7 separate regions of the Mus musculus genome follow, and all the other regions are reported to be linked to region 1. Evidence: microRNA targets listed by miRTarBase, many of them from high-throughput screens and not tested one by one. Region 1 holds a microRNA gene; each other region holds the end of a gene's coding sequence. Distances are from middle to middle.
Evidence for each region. The annotated mature microRNA mmu-miR-297a-5p reads AUGUAUGUGUGCAUGUGCAUGU and lies in region 1 at 2,716-2,737, opposite strand. An mRNA with a match to its seed (bases 2 to 7 or 8) in the 3' UTR can be bound and repressed. Matches are read on the target gene's strand: a 7mer-m8 pairs with bases 2 to 8, a 7mer-A1 pairs with bases 2 to 7 and ends in A, and an 8mer does both.

Region 2: miRTarBase lists Vps33b as a target of mmu-miR-297a-5p. Seed matches in the 3' UTR shown: 7mer-m8 at 3,196-3,202 and 7mer-m8 at 3,182-3,188.
Region 3: miRTarBase lists Serpini1 as a target of mmu-miR-297a-5p. Seed matches in the 3' UTR shown: 7mer-m8 at 573-579.
Region 4: miRTarBase lists Plaa as a target of mmu-miR-297a-5p. The part of its 3' UTR that is shown has no 7-base or 8-base seed match.
Region 5: miRTarBase lists St18 as a target of mmu-miR-297a-5p. Seed matches in the 3' UTR shown: 7mer-m8 at 2,617-2,623, 7mer-m8 at 2,637-2,643 and 7mer-m8 at 2,647-2,653.
Region 6: the mRNA of Pdcl is a reported target of mmu-miR-297a-5p. Seed matches in the 3' UTR shown: 7mer-A1 at 1,679-1,685 and 8mer at 2,419-2,426.
Region 7: miRTarBase lists Cyb561d2 as a target of mmu-miR-297a-5p. The part of its 3' UTR that is shown has no 7-base or 8-base seed match.

The regions. Positions count from the first base shown.
Region 1 is chr2:10,515,421-10,519,813 of GRCm38, reverse strand. It overlaps Mir297a-4 (microRNA 297a-4), which reads right to left and starts at 2,747; the gene lies at 2,650-2,747. The region is part of intron 10 of Sfmbt2 (Scm-like with four mbt domains 2); the gene reads right to left. It overlaps Mir466l (microRNA 466l), which reads right to left and starts at 3,717; the gene lies at 3,597-3,717. Mir669i (microRNA 669i) reads right to left here and starts at 2,210; the gene lies at 2,084-2,210. It also overlaps Mir669h and Mir297a-3.
Region 2 is chr7:80,290,140-80,294,532 of GRCm38, reverse strand. It overlaps Vps33b (vacuolar protein sorting 33B), which reads right to left. Exons shown (of 23, transcript NM_178070.4): 21 at 4,190-4,265; 22 at 3,969-4,085; 23 at 2,954-3,418. The coding sequence ends at 3,339. Prc1 (protein regulator of cytokinesis 1) reads right to left here and starts at 57. Exons shown (of 15, transcript NM_001374624.1): 1 at 1-57.
Region 3 is chr3:75,640,600-75,644,992 of GRCm38, forward strand. It overlaps Serpini1 (serine (or cysteine) peptidase inhibitor, clade I, member 1), which reads left to right. Exons shown (of 9, transcript NM_009250.3): 9 at 76-1,924. The coding sequence ends at 152. Among named protein-coding and RNA genes, the nearest start is that of Platr10, 13 kb to the right of the region's middle.
Region 4 is chr4:94,565,653-94,570,045 of GRCm38, forward strand. It overlaps Plaa (phospholipase A2, activating protein), which reads right to left. Exons shown (of 14, transcript NM_172695.2): 14 at 1-4,257. The coding sequence ends at 3,695. Among named protein-coding and RNA genes, the nearest start is that of Caap1, 11 kb to the left of the region's middle.
Region 5 is chr1:6,857,157-6,861,549 of GRCm38, forward strand. It overlaps St18 (suppression of tumorigenicity 18), which reads left to right. Exons shown (of 22, transcript NM_173868.2): 21 at 144-287; 22 at 1,304-3,784. The coding sequence ends at 1,444. Among named protein-coding and RNA genes, the nearest start is that of St18, 130 kb to the left of the region's middle.
Region 6 is chr2:37,348,634-37,353,026 of GRCm38, reverse strand. It overlaps Pdcl (phosducin-like), which reads left to right. Exons shown (of 4, transcript NM_026176.3): 4 at 645-2,953. The coding sequence ends at 1,196. Among named protein-coding and RNA genes, the nearest start is that of Pdcl, 8.5 kb to the left of the region's middle.
Region 7 is chr9:107,536,431-107,540,823 of GRCm38, reverse strand. Cyb561d2 (cytochrome b-561 domain containing 2) reads left to right here. Exons shown (of 4, transcript NM_001357289.1): 4 at 439-1,813. The coding sequence ends at 942. It overlaps Tmem115 (transmembrane protein 115), which reads right to left. Exons shown (of 2, transcript NM_019704.2): 2 at 2,168-2,959. The coding sequence ends at 2,758. Among named protein-coding and RNA genes, the nearest start is that of Cyb561d2, 3.6 kb to the left of the region's middle.

The DNA.
Region 1 (4,393 bases):
ATGGGAGGAGAGGGGAAGGAAACACAGGGGAGGGGAGGGGACAAGAGGGAAAGGGAGAACAGGGGAAGGAAGGGACAAGAGAAGAGAGAGGAGGGGAAGGGAAAGGAGGGAGAGGAGAGGAAATGAGGGGAAGGGAAGGAAGAGAAAAAGAAAACAAAGACATCACCATCACAGAACCTAGGAAAGAGACACAGCTCTTCAGGAGAGAGAAGAAGTGGGTCCCACTAGAAAAGAAACACTGAGTCCAAACCCTCAGCTGTGAGTTCAGACATCAGCAACAAGGATGGCAAGAATGGCGGAGCAGGAATGAGCCTTGAGAACAGATTTCTAATAGTACGGCCATAATGGACGAGAAAACACTTGCAAAGTGGGCTCTGCTTTGGTGTCCTAACACGGGACCAGGCGCTGGTATTTTAGACCCAAAAATCAACGGAAAACCAACGAAAGCAGTGAGAAGAAGTGCAATATTCGCCTATGTCTCAGGGTGCTCCAAGGTCATTTAAAACAGTAGGCATTCATGCATTCCCATGAGTTCTTCTTATTTACGATCAGGGAATACTGCAGAAAAACAACAGAACCTTAGGCAAGGGCAGAGGAACCAGAGAGTCCATTTGACCTGAACACTAGCCACAACGCTGCTTCTTACAGAAAAAGAATTAGGCTGGGACACATTTCGTACAACAATTAAAGCACTTCTCTGTGTAAAAGCAAGCACAGCATTCTAGTTTGAATTATGTTAGGAGACAAAGATATCACCAAAAATAGACTCTAATATCATATAAATATCAAGTGTTGACAGGGAAAAACAACACTTTAAAAAAATTCTTAAAGAATTATTAAATAAGCAAAAGGATTCTTAGTTTTTAACGACCAGAAATGTTTTCAATATTAAGAGCAACCCAGCTTTACCTCTTAACCCCATTCAATTAAAAGTGACCTTTTTCATAGAGAATGAAAGAGAAGACAGCTATTAATGAGGGAGGTATTCCAGTCTCCCGAGCCAGATGAACGATAAATTTTAAATTAAGATATATTGCAATCTGAAAACTCAAAGAAAATCATCAGGTGTACGAAAAACCAAAAGAATCACACCATAGCCTGCCTGTGTGCTGAGTTCCAGAGATCCAACTCAGGCTGTCAGGTTTCCACAGAAGCCATTTTCACCTGGAGGGAGAACTAGCCCTGGATCCGTTCTGCATAAGCTCTAAAGCTCTGAGTCACATCTCATTCAAATAGATCGATCAGAGCCACTAATGTGCGTGTAGGTGAATGCCAGTGTGTGTGTTTATGTATATGTATGTGAACATTCATATACATACATTTACATGCACACATAAGTATGAACCCATGCACATACATGGGGGAGGGCATCACATGAATCGCATGCTGATCTCTAACTCATCATGAAGTGAAACATGAATTTGAACTCCAGGACCTCCTGACGCTGGCAAGAGTATTCACCTCCTAACTGAGACATAGCTCTGGCCCAGTACTGCATAAGCTCTAAAGCTCTGAGTCACATACCATTCAAAAGGATAAACGAGTGTCATTCCTGTGTGTGAGTGTGTGTGTGTGTGCATGTGTGTATATGCATATTCATATAGAGAAATGAATATGCACTCAACTATACACCCATGCATATTTTTGGTGGGCATCACATGAATGCCAGGATGATCACAAACTTATCAGGAAGTTAAGCATGAATTTAAATTCCTGATCCTTCTAACTCTGGCAAGTGGTTTTCACCTGGTGAGTTAGATGTAACACTGACCCATAATTATACACTCTATAAAACTCTAAGCACATATAAATCAAACAGATCTATGACTGCCATTCTTATGTGTATATGTATGTGTGTGTGTATGTTCATATACATGCATGTACAAGCACACTTACCTACACATATATACACATACACAAGGACAATCAAATGAATTCCAGGCTGATCTCTAACTCATCATGAAGTTAAACATGAATTTGAACTCCGTATCCTCCTGACTCTGGAAAGAGTATCCACCTCCTAACTGAGGCATAGCTCTGGCCCAGTACTGCATAAGCTCTAAAGCTCTGAGTCACATATCATTCAAAAGGATATATGACTGTCATTCCTGTATGTGAGTTTGTATGCATGTGTGTATATGCATAGTCATATAGAGAAATGAATATGCACACAACTATACACACATGCACATTATTGGTGGGCATCACATGAATGCCAGGATGATCTCTAACTCATCAGGAAGTTAAACATAAATTAGACCTCCTGATCCTCCTGACTCTGGCAAGAATACTCACCTCCTAACTGAGACATAGCTCTGGTCCGTTACTGGATAAACTCTAAAGCTCTAAGTCACATACCATTCAAAAGGATATATGAGTGCCATTCCTGTGTGTGCTTGCGTGTATATGCATATTCATATAGAGAAATGAATATGCACACAACTATACACCCATGCACATTTTTGGTGGGCATCACACGAATCGCATCTGATCTCTAACTCATTATGAAGTTAAGCATGAATTCGAATTCCTGATCCTCCTGACTCTGGAAGGATTATTCACCCGGTGAGTGAGATCACGCACTGGCCCAGTCATACAGAACCTCTAAGACTAAGTCACATATCATTCAAATGGATCCATGAGTGGCGATTTTGCGTGTATTTGTGTGCATGCTTGTATGGGTATGTGTGTATGTATATGTATACTCATATACACACATGCACATGCACACATACATATACACACAGGCACATACACTGGGGGGGGGGGGCGCCATCACATGAATCTGAAGCTGATCCCTACCTAATCATGAATTTGAGAATGAATTTCCACTCCTGATCCTCCTGACTCTGGCAAGCATTTTCACCTTGTGAGTGAGAGCACCCACTGATCCAGCCCTGCATAATCTCTCAAACTCTAAGTCACATACCTTTAAGGCCTGACTCTGGCAAGCACTTTGACCTGTTGAGTAAGAGCATGCACGGGCACAGTACTGCATAATCTTTAAAACTCTTAGTCACATATTATGCAAGTAGATGAATGCAAGTCACCATGTGTTTGTGTGTGTGTTGCATGTGTGTGTGTGTCTGCACATGCATATCCATATACATTCATGAACATGCACACACATGTAAGCACACGTGCACATACATGGGTGGCATCAAATGAATACCAGGATGATCTCTAAATGGAGTTTGAACTCCTGATCCTCCTGACTTTGTCAATCATTTACACCTGGTGATTGAGACCATTCACTGTCCCTCTACTGCATAATCTCTAAAACTCTAAGTCATATATCATTCAAATGGATCGATGAGTACCATTCCTATGTTTGTGTGTTTCTGTGCTTGCATTTATACATGTGTGGATGTTATATATATTCATATACACACATGCACACACAACTATACACACGTTCACATGCATGGGGGGAATCACATAAATCACAGGCTGATCTCTAAGTCCTCATGAGTGTAAGCATGCATTTAAGCTCCTGATAGACCTGACTCTGGCAGTTGTCTACACCTGATGAGTGAGAACACTCACTGTCCCCGTACTGCATAATCTCTCACCTCTAAGTCACATGTTATTCAAATGGATCTAAGAGTGCCATTAATGTGTGCGTGTGCATGCATGAATATGTGTGCATGTATTTATATGTATATCAATATATATATACATGTACATGTACACACAAACACACATGCACATACATAGGGGTCATCACATGAATGCCAGGTTGATCTCTACCTCATCATGCAGTGAACATGAATTTGCACTCCTGATCATCCTGGCTCTGGCAAGGGGCGTCACCTGGTGAGTGAGACCTCTCTGTGGCCCAGTCATACAGAATCTCTAAGACTCACATATCATTGAAATGGATCGATGAGTGTCAATTTTCTGTGTGTTTGTGTGCATGTTTGTATGGGTATGTGTGTATGTATATGTATATTCATATACACACATGCACATGCACACATACATATACACACAGGCACATACACTGGGGGCATCACTAGAATCCGAAGCTGATCCTGGACTCATGAATTTGAGAATGAATTTCCACTCCTGATCCTCCTGACTCTGGCAAGCATTTTCACCTTGTGAGTGAGAGCACCCACTGATCCAGCCCTGCATAATCTCTAAAACTTTAAGTCACATGTCATTTAAAAGTATCAATGAGTGCCATTCGGGGTATGTGTGTGTGTGTGTGTGTGTGTGTGTGTATGTGTGTGTGTGTGTGTGTGTGTGTGTGTGTGTGCCTGTGTGTATGTGTTTGTGTGTATTTATATGTATATTCATATGCACACATACATTAGCACACAAAACTATGCAACATGAACATACACTGGGAAGGAACCCATAAAGCCAGGCTGATCTCTAAGCCATTTTG
Region 2 (4,393 bases), not on the chromosome of region 1:
GCGGGACGGAGAACGGTAACCAGCCGCAGCAGACTTCACCCGGAGTCCGTCTCCACTCTCGAGCCGTTGGACCCCGCGGAATTCAAACCGAGCCAGAGGCGGTGCCAAATGACAATTGGTTACCGCGTCCGCCACTCACGGAGCCCCGCCCTCGTCCCGCCCCTCCTGCGAAGGGCTGCTGCCTAGGCCTGGGATACAGAGACCGCCTAGGGCGTGGGAAGCGCTTGCACGGGGAGCGTGCGGGCCTCAATATGCGCATGCGTGCACCTATGCCCGCCTCAAGGGTGGGGTGTAGGGGTGTGGCCGATGATGTCACCGGTACCCACTGAGTTGCTGCCGTTGGGTTTCAAATTTTTGTGCTTCCTGAGAAGTATTGGGTAGACTGCCAGAACAGCTCGACTTCTTGCTACTCTCCAATGTCCCAAGAGGAGCAGGGACTAGCAGGAAAGCTTAGAAGGAAAAAAAAACCAGGCTCTTGGTCCTGGTACCTTAGTGGACAAGTTTATCGCATTTAATCATTAGAACACACCTGTTAATAATGATCATCACTATCCTGAAGAAAAAGATTTGAGTAGCTTTTCCAGAACGTAGGCGGCAGAGACAGGACAGGGAAATAGTTTGGGCTACAGGAAAAAACTGACTTGCCCAATTTAGCTGTGAGCAAATGGTGATTTGGGCTTTGTTTTTCTTGCACATTATAAGATTTAGGTAAATCAGGAAAACTCCACAATTTGAACATGACATCAAAGTATTTGTGTAGCCGGGCGTGGTGGCGCACGCCTTTAATACCAGCACTTGGGAGGCAGAGGCAGGCGGATTTCTGAGTTCGAGGCCAGCCTGGTCCGCAAAGTGAGTTCCAGGACAGCCAGGGCTACACAGAGAAACCCTGTCTCGAAAAACCAAAACAAACAAACAAACAAACAAAAAACAAAAACAAAAAACAACCAAAGTATTTGTGTGTCCTTTTCTTCCCACTGACCCATAGCATCTGTATCCCATTTTCAATGATTTACTATTACCTAATACACTGCTATGGGAGTATCTCCTTTGCTACTCAGACTAAAATTTGTAATAAAGCTGAGATGAATTTCTTTTTTGCTACCTCCTCCAAAATGATTTGTAGAAGTGTAATTATTGAATTCTCCTTTGCGAAGAGGTACTTATTAACCTATCTTCTGCACCAAACTTTACCTGGAGTATCCTTGTTACCCACAGCACTGGTGATTAGCAATGCGCTTTTAAACCACTAGCTTCCATCTATAGGCCCAAAATAAAACAAAATCTAGTTTATACTGAATTATAACTAAAATTGTCTGCTTTTCTGTATTGGTCAACTGTACCATCTATAAGAGTCTCATTATTTGCTTCTCTTTTTTATGATAAATACATTTATTAAATTTGTGTGTGTATATGGGGTGGTCATGTGTGGAGAATAGAGGGCAACTTAAAAGATTCAGTTTTCTCCTCCCACTGCATGGGTCTAGGAAGTAGAATCCAAAGCTGTGATTCTCAAAATGTGGGTCTTGAGCCCTTTGGGGGGGGGGGGGTGTCAAATAGCCCTATCACAGGAGTAGAATAGCAGACATCCTACATAACAGATATTTGATTCATAACAGTAGTAAAATTACAACTATAAAGATATTTGTTTATTTGCCTGTTTATTTGTTGAGTGCTAGGGTTATCACACCCTAGCAAGCCAAGCGCTATCACACCCTGACACACCTGTTTTTTCTGAGACAAGGTGTCATTCTGTACACCAGGATGGCATGAAACTCATTGCATAGCCCAAGCTGGTCTTGAACTTGTCAGTCATCTTCCTGCCTCAGCCTCCCATGTGCTGGGATTATAGAAAGTCATTGAGTTTGTCATCAGAAAGATTTTTTTCTTACTTTTAGAAAACAAAACATAATATTTTATTTACTAGGCACAGTAATAGAAACCTGTAATTACAACATGTGAGAGGCAGGAGGATCATGATAACTTCGAGTCCAGCCTGGTTTACATAAGTCTAGGCTAGCCAGTGATCATGTCTCAAAAAAGGAACAAGTAAACCTGTCTGTTTAAGTTAGAGCAGTAACACATTTATCTTCTGGAAGTGTACTGGAGCACAGAACCTTAGGATGGGAAGGCGTGTGTGCACCACTGTGGGCCACTGCAGCCTTCCTCCTCCTATACACGGGAGGTTAGTGACTCCCTCCAGGGAAAACGGAGTAGGCCCAGGATCGTTGAACTATTTTAATCTTATCCCTGTCTAGTTTACGTAAGAATGAGACCCAGCTATGGTTATTTTATTTGACTATGACAGTTACTGGCAGTCACCCCTAATCTACTTTTCTAACTGCTAGCCTCACTACCTCCCCAGTGGTGTATCCCAGACACTTGCCGCTTCTCCTGGCCTTGTGCTCATGGTCCATCTTCCCTCACAGTGGCTTCCTCCTCCCTCTGTCTCCTTTCTTTCTCCTTTGTTGCAACTTCCAACCATGTAACTCAAAACCCACCTATCTCTAATCCTTCCAGTAATTAGCTGTTCCATTTTATTTAACCAATAGTTTTAAATTAAGGAGCAAGGTTTGTACAACAAAGGTTGATAAATGTGAGAACTCACTCCTGGTACAAAATTTAACATTACAATATGTAGCAACAGACCAAACCTCCTCCAAGAGTAAACAATGAAAGTCCAGGTCATGAAGCACATGAAGCCCCCAGGAAAGTCTCACTATGTAAAAAAGGAGATTGTATGTCTAGGACTACAAAGATATTGCATTTGAGAACAGAGGTGCCCAGCAGTGGTTTAAAAACCACTTTAATCCCAGCACTCAGGAGGCAGAGGCAGGCAGTTTCTGAGTCCAAGGCCAGCCTACTCTACAGAGGAAGTTCCAGGACAGTCAGGGCTATACAGAGAAACCCTGTCTTGAAAACAAACAAACAAACAAACAAACAAAAAACAAAGAGAGAGAGAGAGAGAACAGAGGCTTTATTTACAATAATATTCAAACAGGATTTGCAAAGAATACCTCTCCCCTCATATCTTAGCAGCATGAACTATATACAATTTATAAGCAAGAGGAGTATCCTGGAGGATAGGACATGAATTCTCTCCCCCAAAATTAGTTCCAAAGTTCCCAGCTCTGAGTATTAAGTGTAGCTGGGGTGTGTGTGTGTGTGTGTGTGTGTGTGTGTGTGTATGTGTGTGTGTGTATGTGTATATGTGTGTGTGTGTGTGTGTGTGTGTGTGTGTGTGTGTGTGTGTGACAGGAATCGTAGAAGGTAGATGCCAAACACCAGCATCTCACTGGGATCCACAATCAGGAAATACTTCAGCACTGGCCAGGAAAACATCAGGATTTCACCTCACTCATGGCTTCCATGAGGCGAGCACTGTTTGTAACAGCAGTTGTCAGAAAAATAAATCTGTACCCTAAGAGTCAAGAGAAGTAGCAGAAGTGACTAAATAGACCTCAGGTCCCAACAGGCCAAGCCCACCACTCCCACAGCGCCTCAGTGCCCCAGGATCAGAATGCAGGGCTACAGGCACAGATACATCTGGGCATAGACACATCTGGACCTGCCTGTCCCCAACAAGTGAGGAGAAAAATAGAAAATAAAACTATCAGTTGTTGGCTGGGCAGTGGTGGCACACGCCTTTAATCCTAGCACTTGGGAGGCAGAGGCAGGCGGATTTCTGAGTTCGAGGCCAGCCTGGTCCACAAAGTGAGTTCCATGACAGCCAGGGCTACACAGAGAAACCCTGTCTCGAAAAAAAACCAACCAACCAAACAAACAAAAAACCCCAACTCTCCGTTGCAGTCTCTAGGGCACTGCTATGTGTCCAGCCTGGCGGGACTATGGTCCCTTGCCTCCTGCTGCAGCAGTTCCCAGCAAGGCTGTATAAGTGGTAGCACAGTCAACAGGAAAACCTTCCTGGGTAGCACATGTTGTCCCCAGAACCCTCGCAACCCCGCTCTCACCTTTCTCTCTACCCAGGAAGCGCAGGGCTGATATCTCTGAGAACGTGCAGCCCCCCAGGAACACCACCAAGATGAGGCGCAGTGACTCACTGGAAGCCTTGTCTTCCTTAGCCGTGTCTGAGGATCAGAGTGGACTCCCATCTTTATCACACCCAGTCCACGGTCATGGGTCCTGCCTAGCTCTCCCTGGCCATGCACAGTGCACTAACAATGCCCCATACCTGTGAATGCAAACTCACTGCAGTTTAGCAGCCGTACCACTTCATCAAGGCCCTGCCAACTCCGCCGGTCCAGCACCTAGGAAGGTATAAACACTGGCTTCAGGTCTTCTGACAGTAAGCTTAGGAAAGGAAAGGAACAGCAGTGAGACTCACATTCCTAGCTAGTTACTGGGAAAGTGAAAGTTGAGATGGGCCAAGGACCAA
Region 3 (4,393 bases), not on the chromosome of region 1:
TTCCAAACATTGCTTCCAGGAAATATAGGTCTCATGGTTTTCTTTCCTCTTCTGTTCATTTCCAAACCAATCCAGGCATAATCTTATTCATGGGACGAGTCATGAACCCTGAAACAATGAATACAAGTGGCCATGACTTTGAGGAACTTTAAATGACGACGTTTGAGTACAAAGAAAGCAGGAACAAAGCACATTATGTTTGCAAGTGGTATATATTTAGGATTTCTGTTTTATAGTGTTACTTAGGGAAATATTTAAATAGTTCTGGATAGTAGTAATCCATGTGACCTATAAGTTAGCCTGTCAAAAGCTGTTATCAGTATAAAGAGTATGGTCCCATTGTGTCATTGTGTCTGGTGTGCTGCTGTTTAAAATAAAAGTACATATTGAAACTGTGAACCACTTTTTTTCATTTTGAAAGTAGTTGTAGTCTATACAATACTATGTCTGAGATTTGAAACCTATGCTGTTTCTTTAGGAATTGTAGTAAAATGATCCTACAAGGCAAAATGTAGAAACTGTTGTTTCTGAGTTTCTTCATAATCATGCAGAATCAAACACCAAAGTAAGCAACATACATATATATATATAATAAGCAATACTGTGAAGGGGAGGCCAAAAGGCCAGAGAAATTGAGATTGTTATTTAGTGTGGCATTCCATGACAAAAGATTTAGGAGGAAATGTGGGATATGTAAGACCCATAGATGTATATTTTGTATATACTGTAGTATTATACTTTTAATTTATTAAAGTATAACTCTTTTATTTATTTTTAAAAGTTTCCTGTGAACCAATATGCCACATGACTCTACTAGCAAGTTCAGATATCTCATTAGCTATTCTGGATGACATCAAGAGGCCTCATGGAGGGAATCCCGTGTACCATTTACGTTTTAGTGATTTTTTGTGATGTTCACACAAAGATGAAATCACATTGTTGCACACTCTCTAGACTATATCCAAGAAAGGCATCAAGTGGTACATTGGTGTGCCAGGAAAATAGATGTAATTACTTTATTAAAAAAGTTCCTGGTATTGTGCATCATATGGAATCAGTGCTGCTTAAACTTAGTACGTCCTGCTGACACCTGGTCACTTATTACAAATATAGGTTCTTATCCAGGATGTCTAAGGTAGAGTGGGAACCACAGCTTTCTATCATTACTGACATCCAAATGATGCCGCAGATATCTGACCATAGCCTTTGCTGAGAGTCCCTTGGGTTGCAATGTCGTACTTGAAGTCAGCCTCACATTTTCACAGACTGAGATTGGAGAGATGAGGGTGCAGGGAGGAGATAATCTACACTAGTGATACGATGCCTTTGTCAAGCACTGGTGTGATCTCGAAGTATTTCTAGTACACACTCTAGATAAATTCTTCTGTACATTACAACACTTGAAATGCAGTCGTTAAAAATATGGAGACATTTATAGGCAATACCCATGAAAGAATTTATGACTATCCGAGGACACAGTACTTAACAATGAATCTTTTACAGCTTATATTTTCAGAGGACTTGTAGTTTATTCATAAATCTTCATGTTATTGTACAATAGTGCTCTTGTTTTCATTTATAATTTATGAAGCTGAGATGCCTGGTGTTAATTCAGTGTTCACATTCTCTGCTAAGAACAGTCTTTATCTCTGTATCCTTCTTGTTAATATGACATCTATAGCTATATCTATATGTTCATTAGTTAAACAAATGTATGGCCTGTAAGGAAGAATAAACATTATTATGCAATCATGTGATTATGTGATGTCCCAAATGTTAATTTTTATTAAAAATAGATATAAGATTTAATTCTTGGAACTTTTAATCTTAAAATATTTCAATATGTGTATAAGTTAGGTGTTACTTAGTTGAAAATGGATGTCTTGTACTGGCAGAAAAGCTAGAAAAAATAATTTACAATACCAAGCTTTTCTTTGTATTAATTTAGTATTTCTCTCTCTCTCTCTCTCTCTCTCTCTCTCTCTCTCTCTCTCTCTCTCTCTCTCTGTGTGTGTGTGTGTGTGTGTGTGTGTGTGTGTGTGTGTGTGTGTGTGTGTATACCAGAACACAGACATCCATATGCCACAGGATGTATGTGAAGGCAGAGGACAAATGCCAGAGATTGATTGCCTCTTTCCAACTTGGAATCCCAGAATCTCACTTGAATCATCAGGGTCGTACATCAAGGACTTGGACCCATGGGGCCATCTCCCTGACCTTCAAGTTTTTCTTTTGTTTGGACTTGGCTTTTAATTTCAATACTTTTCTTTCTCTTGAAAAACTAGCATTTCATATTTCCTAATTGTTTTATTCTCTTTACAATGAATCATTACTATAAGTACAAATACACATGTGCATACACACACAAGCACACACACACACATTGTGCATAGAAAGGACTTTTATTCTACGAACTTATGTTTGAGAGGAAATCAACAACCATTCTGAAGTTTTTGATAGTAACTGAATTTAGTTATTCATGTGTATGCAACAGACTGGAATGGATAATTATAGACTCTGATCTATTTTAATATCACCATCAAGTCCAAACAAATACTAAAAGTATTATTTATGTGTTTACTTAAATACTCAAGACATTCATTTTATAAGAACAATGAAAATCAGAAGAAAATACAGTAAAGAACATACTTCCTATTCATTAGATATGCATCTTATACAGAACACAATTCAGTGATTTTTTTATATATAGTCAGTTTCTTGAATTTATAATGATAGTCATTTTTTTCTTATCTGAAAATCTATCTTGGTTTTTCTCTAAAACAAGAATAATGGCAGCATTTTATTTAATAGCTTCAGGCAAGTTAAACCAGTTGAAACTTGTCTTTTTGAAGTAAAGATCTTTTCTGCAATCTTGAGCAAAGATAAAATACAATTCAAAAAAAAAAAAAAAGAAAAGAAAGAAAAGGAAAAATATTGGTGAAAACTCTGCAACTTTGCCTTAAGCTCAGAGCCTCATGGTCATGGTCCATCTTCTAAAGCAGACCCAATGCAAGATTCTTTAGTTAAATGATTAATCTGCAGAATTTGCTAAGGTAGAGGAAACATTCTACGTAAGTCCCAAGGCTGCCAGTAGCTTCAAGGAAAGCTAAATGGCCTCTTAATGTTCTCGAGCACGTTAAAAAGTTACATAAATAGAAGTAATATTATACTGACTGAGCAAGTTGTACTTGGAAATATATATGTATATACATATGTATGTATTTGCTCAATAAGAATTAATTGAAAAAAGAGGCTAAGAATTTGAGGGGAAAGAAATGTGGTAATTACATTATAATCTCAAAGAAATTCTTGAAATAAACTTAAAACAAATCTCCAGTTGACTAAAGCAACAATTAAAAAGAATTTCCAGGATTGAGTGACCATGGGTCCAAATAGTCCAACTCAGTTCTTCATCTATGAAAACTGATTGAATCATTAAGAGTGTATGACAGAGGGGAAACTAGGAAAGGGGATAACATTTGAAATGAAAATAAAGATATATATATATGTATATATATACATATATATATATATATATATATATATATATATATATATATATAGAGAGAGAGAGAGAGAGAGAGAGAGAGAGAGAGAGAGAGAGAGAAAGAGAGAGATTCTGATCCCAACAAGACCAGATACTGAGCCACCAACCAGGGAGCATACACCAGCTGATATGAAGTCCCCAACACATATACAGCAGAGGATTACCTGGTCTGGCCTCAGTGAGAGAAGATGCACCTAACCCTGGAGAGACTTGAAACCCTAGGGAGTAGGGAGGTCTGGGGGTGGGGGAGGATTGGGGGATGGGAGGTACATCCTCTTGGAGACAGGGGGTGAGGGGTGAGGTATGGGATGGGGAGCAGTCAGGGGATGGCAGAATAGGAAGGGGATGAATACTGGACTGTAAACAAAGGATTAAAGAATAAAAAGGAGTGTTTGATAAGTGGCCCACTGACAAGTCACATATTATTCACAGCATTTAGTAATTTTCCTACTTTCAAATTGAACTGGTAAATCACTCCATTCCATTCTCTTCATGTTATGTGTCTTCATGTGCCTGTAGATTGGTGTTTATCACTGTCTGTCTCAGTGAGTGTGTGCTCGGATGTGTCTTTATGTATCTCATATGTGTCTCGATATAGGTTTCTCAGTGTGAGGATGAATCTCTCTGTGTGTGTCTGTGTGTTTATCTGTATCTCTGTGTGTCTCTGTGTGTATATGTATGTGTCTCAATGTGTGCATGGTGGATTTGTTTTGTGGGCATCTGGATTTCTTTTTTCTTTTTCGGTTCATGTTTGTTTTAAGAGCTTACTCTTCTGCACTGGATATTTGTCTCCTCAACGAGTCTGTAAATGGGAGTCCATCCGTATTCTTCACTGGGGAGCCATTT
Region 4 (4,393 bases), not on the chromosome of region 1:
GAATCATCAGTACTCCAGTGTCTCAGGCTGCTGTTTAATAGGTTCAGTGTACTAACATGTGTTTTCAACTTGAGGTAGTGGTAGATTTGGGAAGAGATTTAACTCCATGTCAAGGAGCACTGTATAGCTTTAAGTCCGTAGAGGGTCACTGAATTTTTTATAACTTTTATGAACATTAAAGGAAAACTCATGGGAAAATGTTAAAAAGGGTCTTCGGTATTATATCTATAATCATACTTAAACTATTCAGTACGTTACAGAAAATGCATTAGGAATTAAAATTAGAAAGTTTAAAGATTTATTACTTTTAAATTATGTGTAGATATGTGGGTCTACATAGGCACCTGAGTGCTGAGACAACAGAGGCCAGAGGTATCCAGTCTTTCTGGATCTGGAGTTAGCAGGCAGTTGTGAGCCATCTGTGAACTGTGACTCTAACTCAGGTTGTAGAAAAGCAGGACACAAACTTAACCACTGAGCCATTTCTCCAGTCCCTAGAAAGTATATTTTAATACAACTAAGTAACACTTTAAAATTTACATATTTTTTGCAGCTACAGGTTTTGCCTGTATATATCTATGAATGTATGACGTATGTCCCACATGCTTGTGCCTGGCACACAAAGGTCAGAAGAGACCATGTCCTCTGGAACTGGAGTTATGGATGGCTGTGAACCACCATTAGGTATAGGGAACTGAACCCAGGTCCTCTGTAAACCAACAAGTATCCAAGCGTTGAGTCATCTCTCCAGCCCCTGGGTAAGTCTTAATCCTGAGCAGTTAAGTTCTCTCTTAAGACATGCAGGAGGAAATCCTTTAAAGACCTGAAGGAAAAATAACACATCAAACACTTGTCTATTCATCTTATCACTTCTTCATAAAATGCTGTGTGGTAAGCACCAAGTAACCTACATTTAACTCCAAAATTATCTTTGAAAAAGATTTATCTTTAGCTATGTTTCTACCAAACTGCACTGGATTAAAAAAAAAAAAAACTATAATGCTGTGTGGTTGATATATATTACCAGTAAAACAAACGCAGCTAGTCATAAGAAAACCACAGCAGTAGCATTTATAAGGAGATAAAAACAATAGTTAATGAAAGGGACATCACGTATGTCTGTAGTTGAATGTATAATGTAGTTGAAAATACAGTAGGAGATTCACTAACCTGTAATTGTCCTAGTGGAGTTGATTTAGACAGACATCAATCCAAAATTGCCTATTAACTTGATCCATCAATTTTATGCATAAAATATATTCCTAAGGGAATGGTAAGATTGTTGTGCAATCTTTAATAGCATTGCTTGATAATCAAAAGCAGGAAAGTTTCAGATACTAGAAAATGGGTATATTAATATAATGGGATATTAAAGTTTCTGACCAATACATCCCTTTTTGAAAAATTAAAATGCATATTTACATACATGTCATGGTAGTATAAAACTAAGAATGGTTTTCTACTTAGTAGGATTACAGTCAATAAGATGTGTGTATGCTTTACTAAATGAATGTTTATTTCTTTTATATTCAAGAAAACATTAAGAGGTCTATAAAAAAGTTTAAAGAAAAACAAAATATGTAAACCACCATTTGACAGGTTCAAGTGAGATTATGTTTTTGTTAGGCTGTACAAATAAAAGTTATAAAAAAGCCAGTGATAAGAAACAAAAGTATTTACAATTTGCCACCTCTTACATTCTGAAGAGTGAACTCATGTTTTAAGTAAGACCACATCCATTCTTTTTTCAAAGATACCCACCCTGCTTTTCAAAATATAACATAAATTGTACTTAAAATTGCATGCTAGAATGGATGTATTAACAAGCCAAGTGTTATAATGGCACCAGGATGATTTTTTTACCATTTAATTCTGATATAAAAATTTAACTCTCAATTCAATACAGGTAAAGTATGAATACATAAATGAAACAGCAACATGAAGTTTAAAGTTCAGGTACACACAGGAACTTGGAATTTAATACTCAGTAAAGCACACATCCTCTATTTACATTTCCTCACTCCCTTTTGATATTCTAGAAGTTCTTTCCTGTATTAATCTCAACACTCGGAATCTTCTTCCCCTTAGTGGAAAAAAATTTGTTCTTCTTAGACTGTGATATGGCATTAAGTCAGGAAACCCATGGCTCTCCATAATGGCAATGTTGAGATCACTGCTCACCATTTTTAACAAAGTCCTTATAAAACCATTTCTTCCATAATCAAGACGAAAGCCTGGAACTGGGAATGTAATCCAGTGAGTAGACCTTCCCCAACATGCAACCAGGTTTGGTCCCTAGTACCGAAAAACAAATAAAACCAAAAGGCACACACATACACATACCAATATAAGTACACTTCTTAAGAAAAGGGACTGAGCTGGGAGTGGTGGCTTTAATCCTAGTACTCAGGAGGCAGAGGCAGACAGGTTTCGGGGTTCAAGGCCAACCTGGTTTATAAAGTGAGTGCCAGAACAGCTGCTAATGAAACCTTGTCTGGAGAAACCAAAAAAAGAAAGAAGAAACAGCACTGTCATAGACATAATGAATTGTTCAATTAAAGGATGTCTCCTTTGTTTTAGTTGCTGGGCTGTTTAGAAACAAACCTGTGGCTTTCCAGGAAGCTGCATCATGGCAAGTGCTCTGTGTAGACTAGACTACATGGAGTACTCATGCCTTTATGTTCATGTTTAACCTTCCTATTATAATTTATTCTATTACCTTTCCTTTTGAAAACAGAAGCACAATAACCACTTTTCAAAGAAAGCTGATTTGAGAATTAGATAGCAATGTAAGACCTGGACCATTCCAGGGACTAAAAATACTAATTTCACATGACAGGTTTTTTTACTTTAAAGTCTGATAAATGTTGCTTACACAATTGCCTAGTAAAAGTAAAAAAATTCCAAATATTCTCTTTGAAATAATGAATATGATCAACATGTACAAAACTGAAATGAAAGATGACACTACTACTTCAAATGGTGAAGGATAAAAGAAATGATTTAACTTGTAAGATATCAAAACTAGAAAAAATGAAGTTACCTCATATAGTGAAAGAAACTCCTAAGCCATACTCATTTAAGGCCTCAGTTGTCTGAAATGATATGTAATATAACAGCTTACCAATGTGCTTTCTTCATGTAAAATTGAACCATGAAAGATGATACTTTCTATTTACAAATGGCTCAAGAAATTATTGTTATTTATCAATTTACAATTTATAACAAACTTAATTGAAATGATTTTTCAAGTAAATCCTAAAAGAAGACCTTGAAATGCATCAGTGCTATTGAAAGAATACAACAGTGAAAGTGGAGAAGCTAATGTACAAAAGAGAACAGTCAACTGAACAAGATGTCATAGATCAGAAACAGGTTATAGAACCTCTGTGTTCTCCTGAGTGGTGAAGGTAAGGAAGAAAATGCTGTTATAATTGTGCTGTTATTGGTTATAGTTTTTAACATTTCTACACCCTTGAAAATCTACTCCATTACACAGGAAAACCTCACAACCATCAGTGCAAAAACTTTATTTATAATTTGTTTCTCCTCAACACAACTTTACAAGATCTGAACTTAATCCAATTTTCCTTTCTTTCTTTTTAAACATCTGCAATCAGTCATGTAAAATGTGGAAAAAAACAAAACAAAACAAAACAAAAAAAGAAAACCCCTCAGCGTCTTTTCCCCACTGCTACAGCAAATGTAAGACAAGTCTACAGCATTCACTCACTTTAGCTGGCTCTGATACGGAGACATACTTTTTTATTTGAGAATCAACACCTAAAGATTTGGCTAATTGTATAGCATTTGAATCATCACTGATAAGTGTCCCAAGAGCCACAAGGAGTCTAAACGTGGCTTCTAGGTCTTGCACAACTTCCAAGATTGTGCTAATTACTGAGAGGCATTGAGCTTTCCCTTCAATGTTATGGTCTTTATGGAAACAAACAGAATAGTTCAAGGTCAATGTAGCCAGAGCAATATGAATGTTCTTATTACTCCCGGATTTCAGTTCTATTGCATGTGACATCAGTGACTCCCTCTGGGACATCATGAGCTTTTGTCCTGCCTGACTAACAAAGCAATTGCAAAAAGTCCTAAGAGCAAGCAGCTGGTTTGCTGGCTTTCCTTTGGGGTTCAGAAGGTTGATAAGATGGCTGCTGAACTGGTCTCCTTTTTCATTGCAGAAATTCTCATTCACATTGGGATGCTTAATCGATAGGCGAAGAATGTCAAGTGCAGGAAAGACAATGTCTGTTAAAAAGAAATATTCATTAACGTGTATAAAAAAAAATCTAGAAAATTCCTTATACCTATTATTCAAATGTACTTTATTTTCCCACTACAAAACAATTGTTTTTAGAATATATAAAAAGTTATTTTTATATTT
Region 5 (4,393 bases), not on the chromosome of region 1:
GGTATCTAACACTTAGAATGCAAGGGCAGGGCTGCAGTTTGGGATGGAGGCATCCCTTGGCACTTACATCTAGCTTCAGGTTTCCCCCAGAGACCTTTTAAAGGCCTCTAACTCTGCTTCTTATGTCATTACCTCTGCTGTAGATAACATCTATGGAGAGCAACTTGAAGACCATAGAGGAGGAGAACAAGCTTATAGAACAGAGCAATGAGAGTCTGCTGAAGGAGCTGGCAGGGCTTAGCCAGGCTCTCATCTCCAGCCTTGCTGACATCCAACTTCCACAGATGGTAAGACCAAGAGCAAGGCTCTGCTACCCCATCATCTACCTCAATGTCTTTGTTCCATTACCCTGTGGCTGAACTATTGACAGTCACCTACCCCTGATTCATTTTCATGCTTAATGCTTTCGCAATCTAAGAACACGGTAGATATGCATATTCAGATAATTCAAGGCCAGTGGCATTCCAAAAGGCCAGGACTCTTTAAGGATGAAGGTTTACTTAAAGCTATCTTATAAAGTTATTTGAAAGCTGGATGCCAGAGCTCACTCACTGTAAATATGTTTTCAAACAGTTGATTCTATACATCCCTCAGCATCATCTACTCAACTCATGAACTATAACACTCCCAATAATCTCATTGTAATATTCAACTTCTTTTCATGGAACATAGAATGCATGTGTGTGACCAAGGCATCCGTATTCCTATTCCTATCCCTTATCTCTTATCCCTTACCCCTTATTCATAAGTATGCAACTATTTAGAATTCACAAAAAGTTTATTCTACATTTTCACAAATGTAAATCAGTCTTTGGAGTTGGAGATGCATTGCTGGGAGCTATATTGGTGATGCTGTTAATTTCCTCAGCTCAGTACAATCCCTGCCATTCCAACATAGGACTGTTAAAGAACCACTTGGCAAAAGCTTCATCCTCCTAGCATACTTTCCACAGACAGCTGGTTTTATACTGAAAAGTGCAAATGAGACCCAGACTCTTCCCAAGAAAAGACATATAGTTTGGACACCTCTAGCTCAGCATTTATTATGTGGTTCCAGATTGATCCCCAATACTATTCAATTGCATTCCATTAATGCCATGAGTTAAGAGTATACAGATAGTACACACACACACACACACACACACACACACACACACACACATTTTCTGTCCTATCCCAAACTGCCACAGTCCTATAAACCCTTCTTTTCCTACTTATATAAGTTGGCAACATTTGTCACTATCTCCTGATCTTCCTTGGGGCAGCTGAACCTCTGTGATTGGTTTCCTTGTGTCTCCATCAGGGGCCTATCAATGAGCAGAATTTTGAAGCATATGTAAATACTCTCACAGACATGTACAGCAATCTGGAACAGGACTATTCCCCAGAATGCAAAGCTCTACTGGAAAGCATCAAGCAGGCGGTGAAGGGCATCCATGTGTAGAACGACAGTATGCAGGAAACAGAGGTCACTACGGCCATGAACTCCCACAAATCTGCAGGGGCCTAATACCCCTGGAGCCCAGAGGCTGTCCCTGTGTTTATAATTGCAACATTGCACTAATTTTTCCCCAGCTGACATAAAAAGGAAAGAAAAACTATGATAAACTCTTTGGATTAAAAGCAATGCAGTCAATTATTAAACTCGTTTATTTTCATATCTTTTTCTTTTCTTTCTTCATTGCACTCTTTATTTTGTAAAGTATATGTAAAAATAAATGTGACATTTTATATTTTATTTATTACTAATCAAAGAGTTTTTTATCTTTTAACTGCATTTTGAAGTCTACTATATTTTTACAGGTGTGTTTATTAATTTATCTTCTAATAGGATTTAAATAGAAATGCTGTTCTCAAATCACATATCTTTCTGGATTTAAATGAGAAAAACAAAACAAAAGAAATGTATGAAGGAAATCCTGATGTCAGGACTACACTGTGGTCAAGCTTGGTTTCTACTGTGCACTTCCATTTCTCCTTTACTGGTTTTGTTTTTATAAATGGCTTTTGGTAATGTGAGCTGTGAAGGATTATGAAGATAAATGGCGCCCACTAGTGGGAAATCCACACTCACAAAAGCACAGGATGTTAGCAAACAGCGCACTCAGAACTTGATAGCAATAATTAAATAAAATAGTCAGCATAGTATTCCACATGGCTGCAGAGATTTAATTAATATGAATTATTTATTTAGACTGCTTAAAGCATACATTTTAAGTGAATCAGATTTGTCTTCTTGTTTTTCAAGTCATATTGGCTAGTTGGCAACCCTTTCCCAAAATGAGAAATAAGCTTTGATGGGACCAGCTTGGCTTTTCCTGCTACACGTTAGTACAATATACAAGTGACAATGTTGGTGTAGATTTGTACTTACAACTACAGACACATCCAAATGGAAATTGTGTAGATACCGTATCCCCTGAAATAGCATTTATCTTACTGGGTTGACTGGAATAGAATGCAAAACAGAAGGCCTGAAAAAAAAAATGCTATTCCAAGCTAAGTGGTTACCTTGAATATTGGCAGCATTGGTCTTTGCTTCCCTAATAAATAAGGCAGTTTCAATTTGATAAAACTCTTGAACTTCAAGTGACACAAAGGATGTTACACACACACACATACATGTACACACATGCACATACACACACATACAGACACATGCACACACACACACACACACACAACAGCACAGTCTACACACATATATGCACTCACACTCATCCACACGTGAAATTCAACCTGCAATCTCAACTGGATCAGAGTTTAGAAGTTGCTGTAGTAAAGGCAATGTCTATTTCAGGGACTGTAAAGTAGTTAAGCATTGTTTCAAAAGTTTTTTTATATTTATTTTTTTTAAGGAAAAGGTATAGACAACCAGCTAAACTGCCTTTTTGGTGTGCACACACATTTCATGTGCAGATGTGCCTCTATGTAAAAGTACACATGAACTTTAGTGTGGGCTTAATTTTCTGTGCTATAATAAAAGTGTTTATTTTTTATTAGCCTCATGAATATTTAGATTTAGTGTGATGGCATTCACAGGCTTGAATTCACTGTTACTACTGTTACATGCTCTGATACATGAGAAGTGGTATAGTCACTCCACTCTCGTGGAACCGTGGATATTGTTATGCATCACGTGGCGCTTATCTTTGGCTTGGGGTTCATTTGAACTCTTGAATCTTAGTTTAGTGAAAATGAGATGTCTGTTCTTAGGTAGGAAAGGTGTTTATTTAAAGCTCAATTTTAAAATAAGCAGCTACTGCGAGTAGTGTCTACTATAAATGGGACACAAAGTTTCCTATTAAAGTATGTCTTTGAACATTTTGCTACACAATACTTCAAAGAAGCACACAAATGGGCTCACTTATTACAAAGACAGAAGTTTACTTTGCTAAATATTTTAACAAGTTTGTTATATATTTTATTTAAAGAGATCTCCTGCAATCCTATGTATTTATTACTATAATTTACATGGCTTCAGTTAATTTATTTGTGTTCATATAGTTTTATGAAGTGTATCTGTATTTATTTGCCTCCTCGTACTTGTGTTTTATAACATGCACTGAATTATTTTCTTTTCAACTATGTTAATGATTGATACTGTAAATTGGGTATTTTGTAAACAAAAACAAAGGCAGTGATGTATGCGTTTTTATTTGAAGTAGTTTGTTTGTATACTGTTTCTCCAAATGATTAATATTTCTTACATCATTGCAACAAAATTGTGTTCAGTGCTGTGCATTTGGTGTATGGTAGGAAATAAAAATTGATAATGAATTTGGCCATGATATTTACTTTATCAAGACAGATGTCACCAACCCCATGACCCACAGCTCCTGATATGGTAGAAAACCTCTAACACAGAACAATTCCTTCTGAACACTTTTACCCTTGGTTGAGAGGATTCTTGGTTGGTTAACATCTTGATTGGTTAACACCTTGGTGTAGAACATATCTCCAAAATGGGGTTTGCCTTTGCCTTTGCTAGAACTAGAAAGAATTTTGCCCAGATCTAATGAATAGCACACAAGGAGTCCTTTCCTGATACCAAACTGCTGGAGGTCCTGAATATAGCTTACATTTATGCAAGGTAGGTTCAAAAAATGTGATAATTCTAGGCTACCTGCTTTTGTTTTCCTAAGTCATCAGTATTCTCTACTTTTGAGTTTCTAGCCAGACTTACACATCTCTTAAATATGATTGTTCCTCATAGGCAATGTAAAATTTACTCAAATTAACTAAAGAGAAGTCTGGATCAAAGCGGGAGCTGGGCTTAAATTAGGTTTGCTTTCAGGGAGCACCACGTACTTTCAGTCACTAAGCTTACACGAAATGCTCATATGTGTTCTGGGAAAGCGATGCGAGCTGCTCAGCCAGTATCTTAGTGTCT
Region 6 (4,393 bases), 27 Mb from region 1:
AGACACATAAATACACATCATTGAAAAAAAACTAGATCTTTAAAAATTCTACTCTTGTACTTTATACTTGTGTGAATTTGTGCAAATAATGTAAAATCTTTGGGTTAATACCTACATTTAGAAAATGGGGTTATTAAAGTTCTTCCAATGAGATTAACTCAAGAACCCAGTAATAGGTGAATTCAATTATTATAGTCATAATTACCACATGGTAGGAGAGAAGTAACTCCTGCAAGTTGTCCTCTAACTTCCACAGGTGCACCGTGGTATGAGCATGCTCCCCTTCCCCCACCCCCTGAAAGTAAAAGTAATTAAAAAAATTTCCAAGAGGAAAATCTGAATCTCTGGAAAGAGATTCAGTTGCTAAAAGTACTTGTTTTTATAGATGACCCAGGGTTGGTTCCCAGCACCCATGTGCTGGCTTACAACTTAACACCAGTTCCTAGGGACCCAGTGCCCTCTTCTGGCCTCCACAGGCACCAGCGTGCACCTGGTGCACATAAAATACACTCCATCCATACAAATTTTGAGAGAGATGACATAATATGAATAAGACACTAGTGTGAAGTCTCATGTGTTCTAAGTACAGGGTGCAGATCCACGTTGATCAAATGTGTTCTTTGCCTGTCTTTGTTTTCATGCAGATGACTCTAAAGGAGTTTGGTACAAAGGACAAGAACTTGGATGATGAAGAGTTTTTGCAGCAGTATCGGAAGCAGAGGATGGAAGAGATGCGGCAGCAGTTTCATAAAGGGCCCCAATTCAAGCAAGTTTTTGAAATCCCCAGTGGAGAAGGGTTTTTAGATATGATTGATAAAGAACAAAAAAGCACACTTATCATGGTTCATATTTATGAAGATGGCGTCCCAGGGACTGAAGCCATGAATGGCTGCATGATCTGCCTTGCCACAGAGTACCCCGCCGTCAAATTCTGTCGGGTGAGGAGCTCAGTTATTGGGGCCAGTAGTCGTTTTACCCGGAATGCCCTTCCTGCTCTGCTCATCTACAAGGCGGGTGAATTGATTGGCAATTTTGTTCGAGTCACTGACCAGCTGGGGGAAGATTTCTTTGCTGTAGACCTTGAAGCTTTCCTGCAGGAATTTGGATTGCTCCCAGAAAAGGAAGTCTTGGTGCTGACATCTGTGCGAAACTCTGCCACCTGTCACAGTGAAGACAGCGATCTGGAAATAGATTGAACTGATAATCTAGTTCCGTAGCTATCTCATTGTTTGGGCTGGAGGACACATGTCTGTATTTATTTCTGTCCTTCCTGTGTCTTCTGGCTTTACAGCTGTTCTTTGTAGTCTCATTTAGTATGTGAAAAGTCAAGAAATTCTTAGATTAAATCAGAATGCTGACTCACTTTGTAGCTAGCAGTAAAGTGACTTCAAATTATATAAGCAGGAAACTAGGTTCTTGAGCTGTTTACTTCTCTAGCGTGACATCTCTGATACTGTTTCCAGTCAATATTGACATGGCACCCTTGCAGGCAATGTCTTGAAAATTGTCTTCTGATGACCTCAGAATTCTACCAGTTCTGAGAGTAGAATTCCCTAGTGAGTGTGTTCTGTGCAATGTAAACAGTGCATTTCCATAATCACTTGATTGCAAATCATGTTTACTTGCAATCAGATGCATAGCTGTACTTTTTTTCTCTAGATCTGTCTCTACCAGGGTCCATACAAGGTTGGGAATGTAGCTCGGTGGTGAACTCTTACTATGCACATGGCCCCAAGATACCTGATTCCTAGCACTGTCAAGACTAAAGGTTCCAGATGGTGCCTGGTGCTGTAGTTAGCAGTGGCCTCTGCTGTGGCGGTCAGTGGTCCAGTCCAGCATAATGAACAGGAAAGGATGGTTTTTGCTGACTGCTGTCATGTTGGGAGGCAAGCATCTTATTGACTGACATTGGTGTGTGTGGAGCTTGAAAACCTCAGTGGGAGGATCTTTCTGTACTCCTGCTCATCAGTATCTCTTCCTGTTATTAACAAGGCGACTTCTTGTTTAACCTCAGCTTTTTTTAAATGCTTTTTTGCCTATTAGGAAAAAAAAATCATATTTAGTAGAGGAAAATTGGCCAAAATAAAGATGTAAAAATGGTTTAAAAATGTAATTCTGCCACCTAAATACTATATGTTTTGGTATAGTTCATATATAGGTTTTTTTTTTTTAATGTATTCATTGGCTTTTGTTTGTCTTTAAATGACACTGGGATAATTCTGAGCATAGTGTCTGATATTATGGTCAGCTACTAACATCAGATGTTTTTCATGTTATTAAATACTCTTCTGTAACATTTTAATAGCTGTTGATATTTCCACTGATAGATATACTGTAATATGCTTGGTGGTTGGTTTTTAGAAAGATGGCAAACTTTTTTATTATGAACCTTTTATTATGAAATGTGTCCCTCATAGAACATACAATAAAAATTAAGCTAAAAAGATATTTAAAAGCCATACAGTTTTACTACTGATAATTATGTCACCATTTTTATAGATCTCTTTATAGCTTTATGTGTATGTGTATATTTATAAAATTCATTGTCATTCAAGTTTTTTTCCTTTTAGTTATTCTTTATATGTTCTTGTGTCAGTGGAGAAGAAATGTAGTCTGGAAGTAAATATTAGCTTTAGTATGCACACTTGAGTTTTTTGGTTGCTCAGAAACTAACTGTAAATGAGTCTTGAAAGTGTCTGTTGGATTTAATCAACAAAAACAGTTGTCATTTTCTGACTAAGGAGCTTATTGTAGAAGTGAAGAAAATCATTAGGAACAGAGAAAGCTGATGTAAGTATTCTAGTTTTTTTCTTTCCAATCCTTCTGTCCCCATTCTTAATAACATTGATAGTTACTGAATTCTGTGTCCTACTTTATGTAATAGTACATACTAAAATACTTTGCTATATTGTAAAAGTTCACCATTTAAATAAATCATACCATATTGACTCAGCCCCTGTATATTAGATATTTGAATTCCTAGCATTTTGCTAAAGCATTTAACATCTTTGCGATTTGCACTGTGTTCTTGGCATTTCCAACATCCTGGTCTTTACTTTCATTTTTATGTACAGTCCCACTCACAAACTATGTTCTGGAAATTTGACATTGGTACTATTTTCCTACTGAGAAAGACTGCTTATATCCATGTCTTGAAGTGCTTATTACTTTAATAGTTTCAAAGTCATGGATCTATTTGATGAATATTTGAGCAGGGTAAGAGGTGGGTTTCAGTGTTCTGTATCTCTAGCCACCAGGAAAAAACAAATCAAAAGCACACTGAGATTTCATCTTACCCTAAGCAGAATGGTTTTTACCAAGAAAATAAAAAGCAATGCCAAGTGTGATTCCTTGTTCCTGTAATCCCAGCACTCAGCAGGTAAGGTGCAAGCATTGCCACGAGTTCAAGGACAACATAGGTTACATAATGAGACTGTCCTAAAAACAAACATAAACAAGCAAACAAATACCAGCCTTCTGCCTCAGAAGGGCACTTATCACTTAACTCAGGCCTGAGGACCTGAATTGCATCCCTGGAACCCACGTAATAGAAGTACAAAATCAACTTCTGAAACTTGTCATCCGACCTTCATATGTATATTAGTGTGTGTGTGTGTGTGTGCATGCATGCACGCACATGCCCATGTAGACACAAGGAGTTACACCTGTGAGGTGTCGTGATGGCACCCCCTTGAAGAGTCATGAAGTATTTGACAATAATCCCAGTGCTAGGCATAGGAAATCACCCCTTGACTTGGGACATTCACAGGGAACTCCTAAAATAATCATTGCCCTTTGACTGCCTTCCAGAACTCAAAGGTAAGGCCCTGTTGCTGAAGACACCCCACACTTTAGATACAGGGGTTTGAGAAATCAAACTGATCTTGAAGGCTTCTCCCTGAGCACTGGCTTTCATTATATTGGAAGCTGCCAAGAGGGAGATATAATTCATAGTTTTACCTAGATGTAAAACCTACAAAACCACAATGACCAGAGACCTAGATACCTCCAAGAGTTCAGTGGTGGCATTTTTATCTCAGGGCTACCCAATAGCTGTCTGGTAGACTTAACACCAGCTCATTGGGATGAAATTCACTATAAACCCAGACAGTTACCCATGGCCGGAGAGGAGACCTAGAGGAGAACCTACTATGGCCATTTTCCTAAACTAATATAATAATTTCTAATGGTAGTCTAAGTAATTATCCTTATAATCACAGGTAAATGTAGCTATTGCCCTTCATCAAAGGAGCTTCTTTTTTTTTCAGCAGATAGAGACTATTACAGAGATTCACAATTGGTCAGAGTGCAGAGAAAACATGACCAGTGAGTGTCCAGTCCCAACATACATATCTGCAACACAAACCTTACATGTAAGGATCAGGGATAATTA
Region 7 (4,393 bases), not on the chromosome of region 1:
CCCAAGCACAAAAGGGCGGCTTCTCTCACCTCCAGCTAGGAAGCTGAGAAATGGCATTTGGAGGCTGCTCTGTCCCTAAAAACCTTAATTTCTGGTGATGCATCTAATTGTCCCTGAAACAGTGCACCCGTGTGGCTAGCTCTTGCCAAGAAATTGTATCCTGCCCCATGGAAGGGAGACAAAGCTTGTGAATCATTTATAACTGCCATGTCTCAAACCTTGTTTGCTGGGTCACATAGCCGAGGTGACATTTCAGAAAAACACCCAGGAAGAAGTCTGGAGAGGCAGCTCTAACTACTCAGGGCAGCCATTTTGTGCCACACAGGGCCTTCATCTTATCAAGTGCAGCATTTTGTCCTTGGGGGAAGGGGACGGAAGGGGGTGCACCTTTGTGGAGGGTTAAGTGCTCAGAGCTCACTTGAGTTTTTGTCTCCTCAGTTCTCCTTCCTGATGACCGAGGCACTCCTGATGTTCTCTCCTGAGAGTTCCCTGCTGCGGTCCCTCTCTCGGAAGGTCCGCGCACGCTGCCACTGGGTGCTCCAGCTGCTGGCCCTACTCTGTGCTCTGCTGGGTCTAGGTCTTGTCATCCTCCACAAAGAGCAGCTTGGCAAAGCACACCTGACCACTCGGCATGGGCAGGCAGGGCTGTTAGCTGTGCTGTGGGCAGGTCTGCAGTGTTCAGGGGGCATGGGGCTGCTCTACCCCAAGTTGCTGCCCCGATGGCCCCTGGCAAAGCTGAAACTCTACCACGCCACTTCTGGGTTGGTGGGCTACCTGCTGGGCAGTGCCAGCCTCCTGTTGGGCATGTTCTCACTCTGGTTCACTGCCACTGTCACTGGTGGTGCCTGGTACCTGGCTGTGTTGTGCCCCATCCTCACCAGTTTGGTAATCATGAACCAAGTGAGCAATGCCTACCTGTACCGCAAGAGGATCCAGCCATGAGCACTCACCAGTTATTACGAAGGCTGGATTTGCACCTCAGCTTCGGACCAGGAGCTCGGAACCTGTTGGACTCTCACAACTGACAGGGTCTGGGGACATTTCAGGGACTAGGGCACTCAGGGGTAGATCTCCTCACACTAGAGTGTCTCCCTTTTCTTGCTGTCAACCCAGGGGAGCATGGTCATGTGTCTGGGTGAAGTTGGAGTTGCAACAGTCTCCCCAGCAGCCATACAGCTTATATTTGTACTGGTATGTCCAGAAATCATGGAGGAAAGAAAAGTAAAATAAACAAACAGAATCCTGAAAACCTGTCGGGAGGAGCAGCGCAGAGTTGAGGATGGTTCTTGCTAATGCATCATGGTAAGAAAATGGTCAGCTGGGTAAGGAGGGGCCCCTCCTTGAATGGGAGTCCTCAGAGCCTGCTGTGAAACTTCCTCTGATCCCAGTGCATTGGGGGGCTAAGTGTGGACGGCACAGCTATTTCCAGCTAATTGTGCTAGAGTCTGGAGACTATGGCCAGTGACAGGAGATGGACTTAGAAGTTGAACCATGGTCATTTGTGGTGGCGGGCAGATCTCTGTGAGCTCTAAGCCAACCAAGGCTACATAGTAAGATCCTGTCTCAAAAGGGAAAAAGAAAGTAGAATCATGAACAAGAGAAATTTGCCTTCTGTTTCTGAGACAAGGTTTCAAGTCTCCCAGGTGGGCTTTGAACTCACAACATGGCCTAGGATGACAGACTTCAGATTCTCCTGTTTCACCGCAGTGCTAGGATTATAGATGTATGTACCATGTATGTCCATACCATGCCCCACTTATGTAGTGCTGGGACCCAAACCCAGAGCTCTGAAATGCTAAGCAAGTGTTCTGTCATCCAAGCTATGCCTTCAGCGCCTGGTTTTGTTTGTTTGCGACATGGATTATAGATATGTGCCACCATGCCCTGCCTAAGCCAGCACCTACTGATGGAGAAGTCTGTCAGGTCCACTGGCTGAGGGTCTCCCCAGTAGACCGAGGAGAGGGAAAAGGAGAAAGGGACTAAGGTGATGGCTCAGGCAAGACTGCCCAGCAGCAGGTGTGTATTAATAGACAAGAGGTATGGGCAGTGGGATTCTTAGCCAGGTGGAGGTGTCATGGAACTGAGCCCTAGAACCCAGAAAACACATTTAACTTTGCATCTGATAAAGATGAGAGGGCTGCACAAGGTGGTCTGACGGAGCCCAGGAGCCAGACCTCAAAGAACCGCTTTATTGATACTGTGAAGCAGGTTTGGCTGCCCGCTCAGATGGTCCTGTAGAAAATACCTGGGAGCTGTGGCAGCCCCGGCTAGGCACAGTTGTCACTGCCACAGCAGAAGGGCACAAGAAACCCTGATGAGAATGCAGTCTGGGGGTGGGCGGGGATGTTCAGACCCACACTGGCTGGGTCCCCAGAACATTTTTGGCAAACACAAATCCTTGCCTTGGCTCGGGGCTGTTGGCAACCAGTTTCAGACATAAGGGCTGGCCCAGGAGCCGTGGCACCAGTGTCCCTGCAGCCACTTCCTTGGTGAGGAATTGTACCGCTGAGGTACAATCTTACTGCAAATGGGGATCTGCACTGGCTGCTGCTCAGAGACCCCGTACCTGGCATTGTGGTTGTCTGGAGTCAGAACCAGGTAGCAACAAGGGTCCTGTGTTAGTGTTGTCCAGACACAGCGGAAGGCCACAGGAACCCCCAGCAGACCCTCTTCCCTCTCCTCAGAGCAGTCAGTGCTCTGCAGTAGCCGAGACGGATCGGGAAGGCATGGGAGTAGAAGAACTGCACTCAAAGTGGTCTAGAGTAGGGGAGCTGTCTCCAAGGTGATGAGACTGGATTCCGGGACGGTCACCTTCCCTGGGGGCGTGGAAGCTTCTTCTAAGGGCAGAGGACTGTCCGTTTTTGCCCCAGCTTCCTCTTCGTCATCATCCATGCTGGGCCAGGCTGACTGATCCTCCACTCTCTTCAGCCGCTCATTGAGAGCCTTTAGGGCTAGTTGCCTGGAGCCAGAAGAGAAAAGGCAGGTTACACTGGGTTTGGGAGACCAACATACTCTGCAACCTTCTTCAATAAGGCCAAATCCTCCTACCAAAGAGGTTTGCCTCCAAATCCCACGTTTCCCATCCCCGTGCCGCGTCTAAGAGCCTGGGCCAGGATCTGCTTTGGCAATTGAATGAGGACCCAAGGCACCTCCAGACTGAGAAGGCTACCTAGATGTTGGCAGCCTACCTAGCAGGCCAGCCACCACGGATACTTCTGAGTTTGCTAGCTAAAGACGGGTGGGTGTAGTGCTTCTGTCAGGAGTGGCGTGTTTCAGTCCCTAGAAATGCGTCCCACGTGCGCTGGTGTCATTTCCAAGGGCAGGGTTATTTGGCTTTGTGGTACTAGGGATTAAAGCGAAGGCCAGCACTCCACCACAGAGCTGTCCCCAGCCCTTAAACACTTTTTTTTTTAGGCAGGTCCATACTGCTTCAAACTAGCTCTGTAGCACAGGCAGCCCTTGGATCTCCTGTCTCAGCCTCCCGAGTAACAGGATTAGAGCCTGTATCACCAGGCTCCCTCAGCGAAGGGCTCTTAATGAAGCAGCCTCAACTTGCATGGCCCTTCCTATGACAATTTTTCTAGAAGCTTTTCTCAAAGCCACCCAGACCTTAGCAGAGCCTTTGTAGCAGAAACAGCCATGTGGGAAGGCCAGAGAGCAGGGTCTGTTGTTTCCACAGGGTAGACTTCTGCAGGCATTATTTTGAGAAAAGGTGGGAAAATACCCTTGGAAATTTTCTTTAGGACACCCGAGAAGTCTCAAGCTGTAGGGCCTGCAGCATGCCTTGAGTGCTTTCCCACCCCTTGGACACCAGCTGTAAACTCTTTTAAGGAAGACACACCCTACACACCAAGCTACCCAGCCTCAGTGAAGGACAAGTTTCCAAGTGTTCAGCACTCTTGCCCACAGAAGGTGAAGTGTCCGTGGATCCCGATGGCTTACCTCTTTGCTGCTACAGGCAGACACGCCACCCTATGGCGTTCTAAGATCTAAAATTTCTACCACGCCAAGAAAATAGACAGGAAAAGCAGCAGGGATACAGGCACTGAAAACACTAATGTGCTCCAGCCTAGCCCAGTAGCAGGTCTTCCCTGTCACTCCACAGACTACTCTTGGAGATGTCCTTGCCAGCAGTCACTTTGTGGAATCCTCTTTCCTCCTTGTAGCCCTTTGGGTCCGAGAGTGGCATGCAGTTGCATGACAGTTGTCTGGGAGTTGTCACCCACCCCATGTGACTGGGCCAGTCCCCACTCTTCCTTTTCTATCCACTTTTTTTTTTTCTCGAGACAGGGTTTCTCTGTATAGCCCTGGCTGTCCTGGAGCTCACTCTGTAGACCAGGCTGGCCTTGAACTCAGAAATCCACCTGCCTCTGCTGAGTGCTGGGATTAAAGG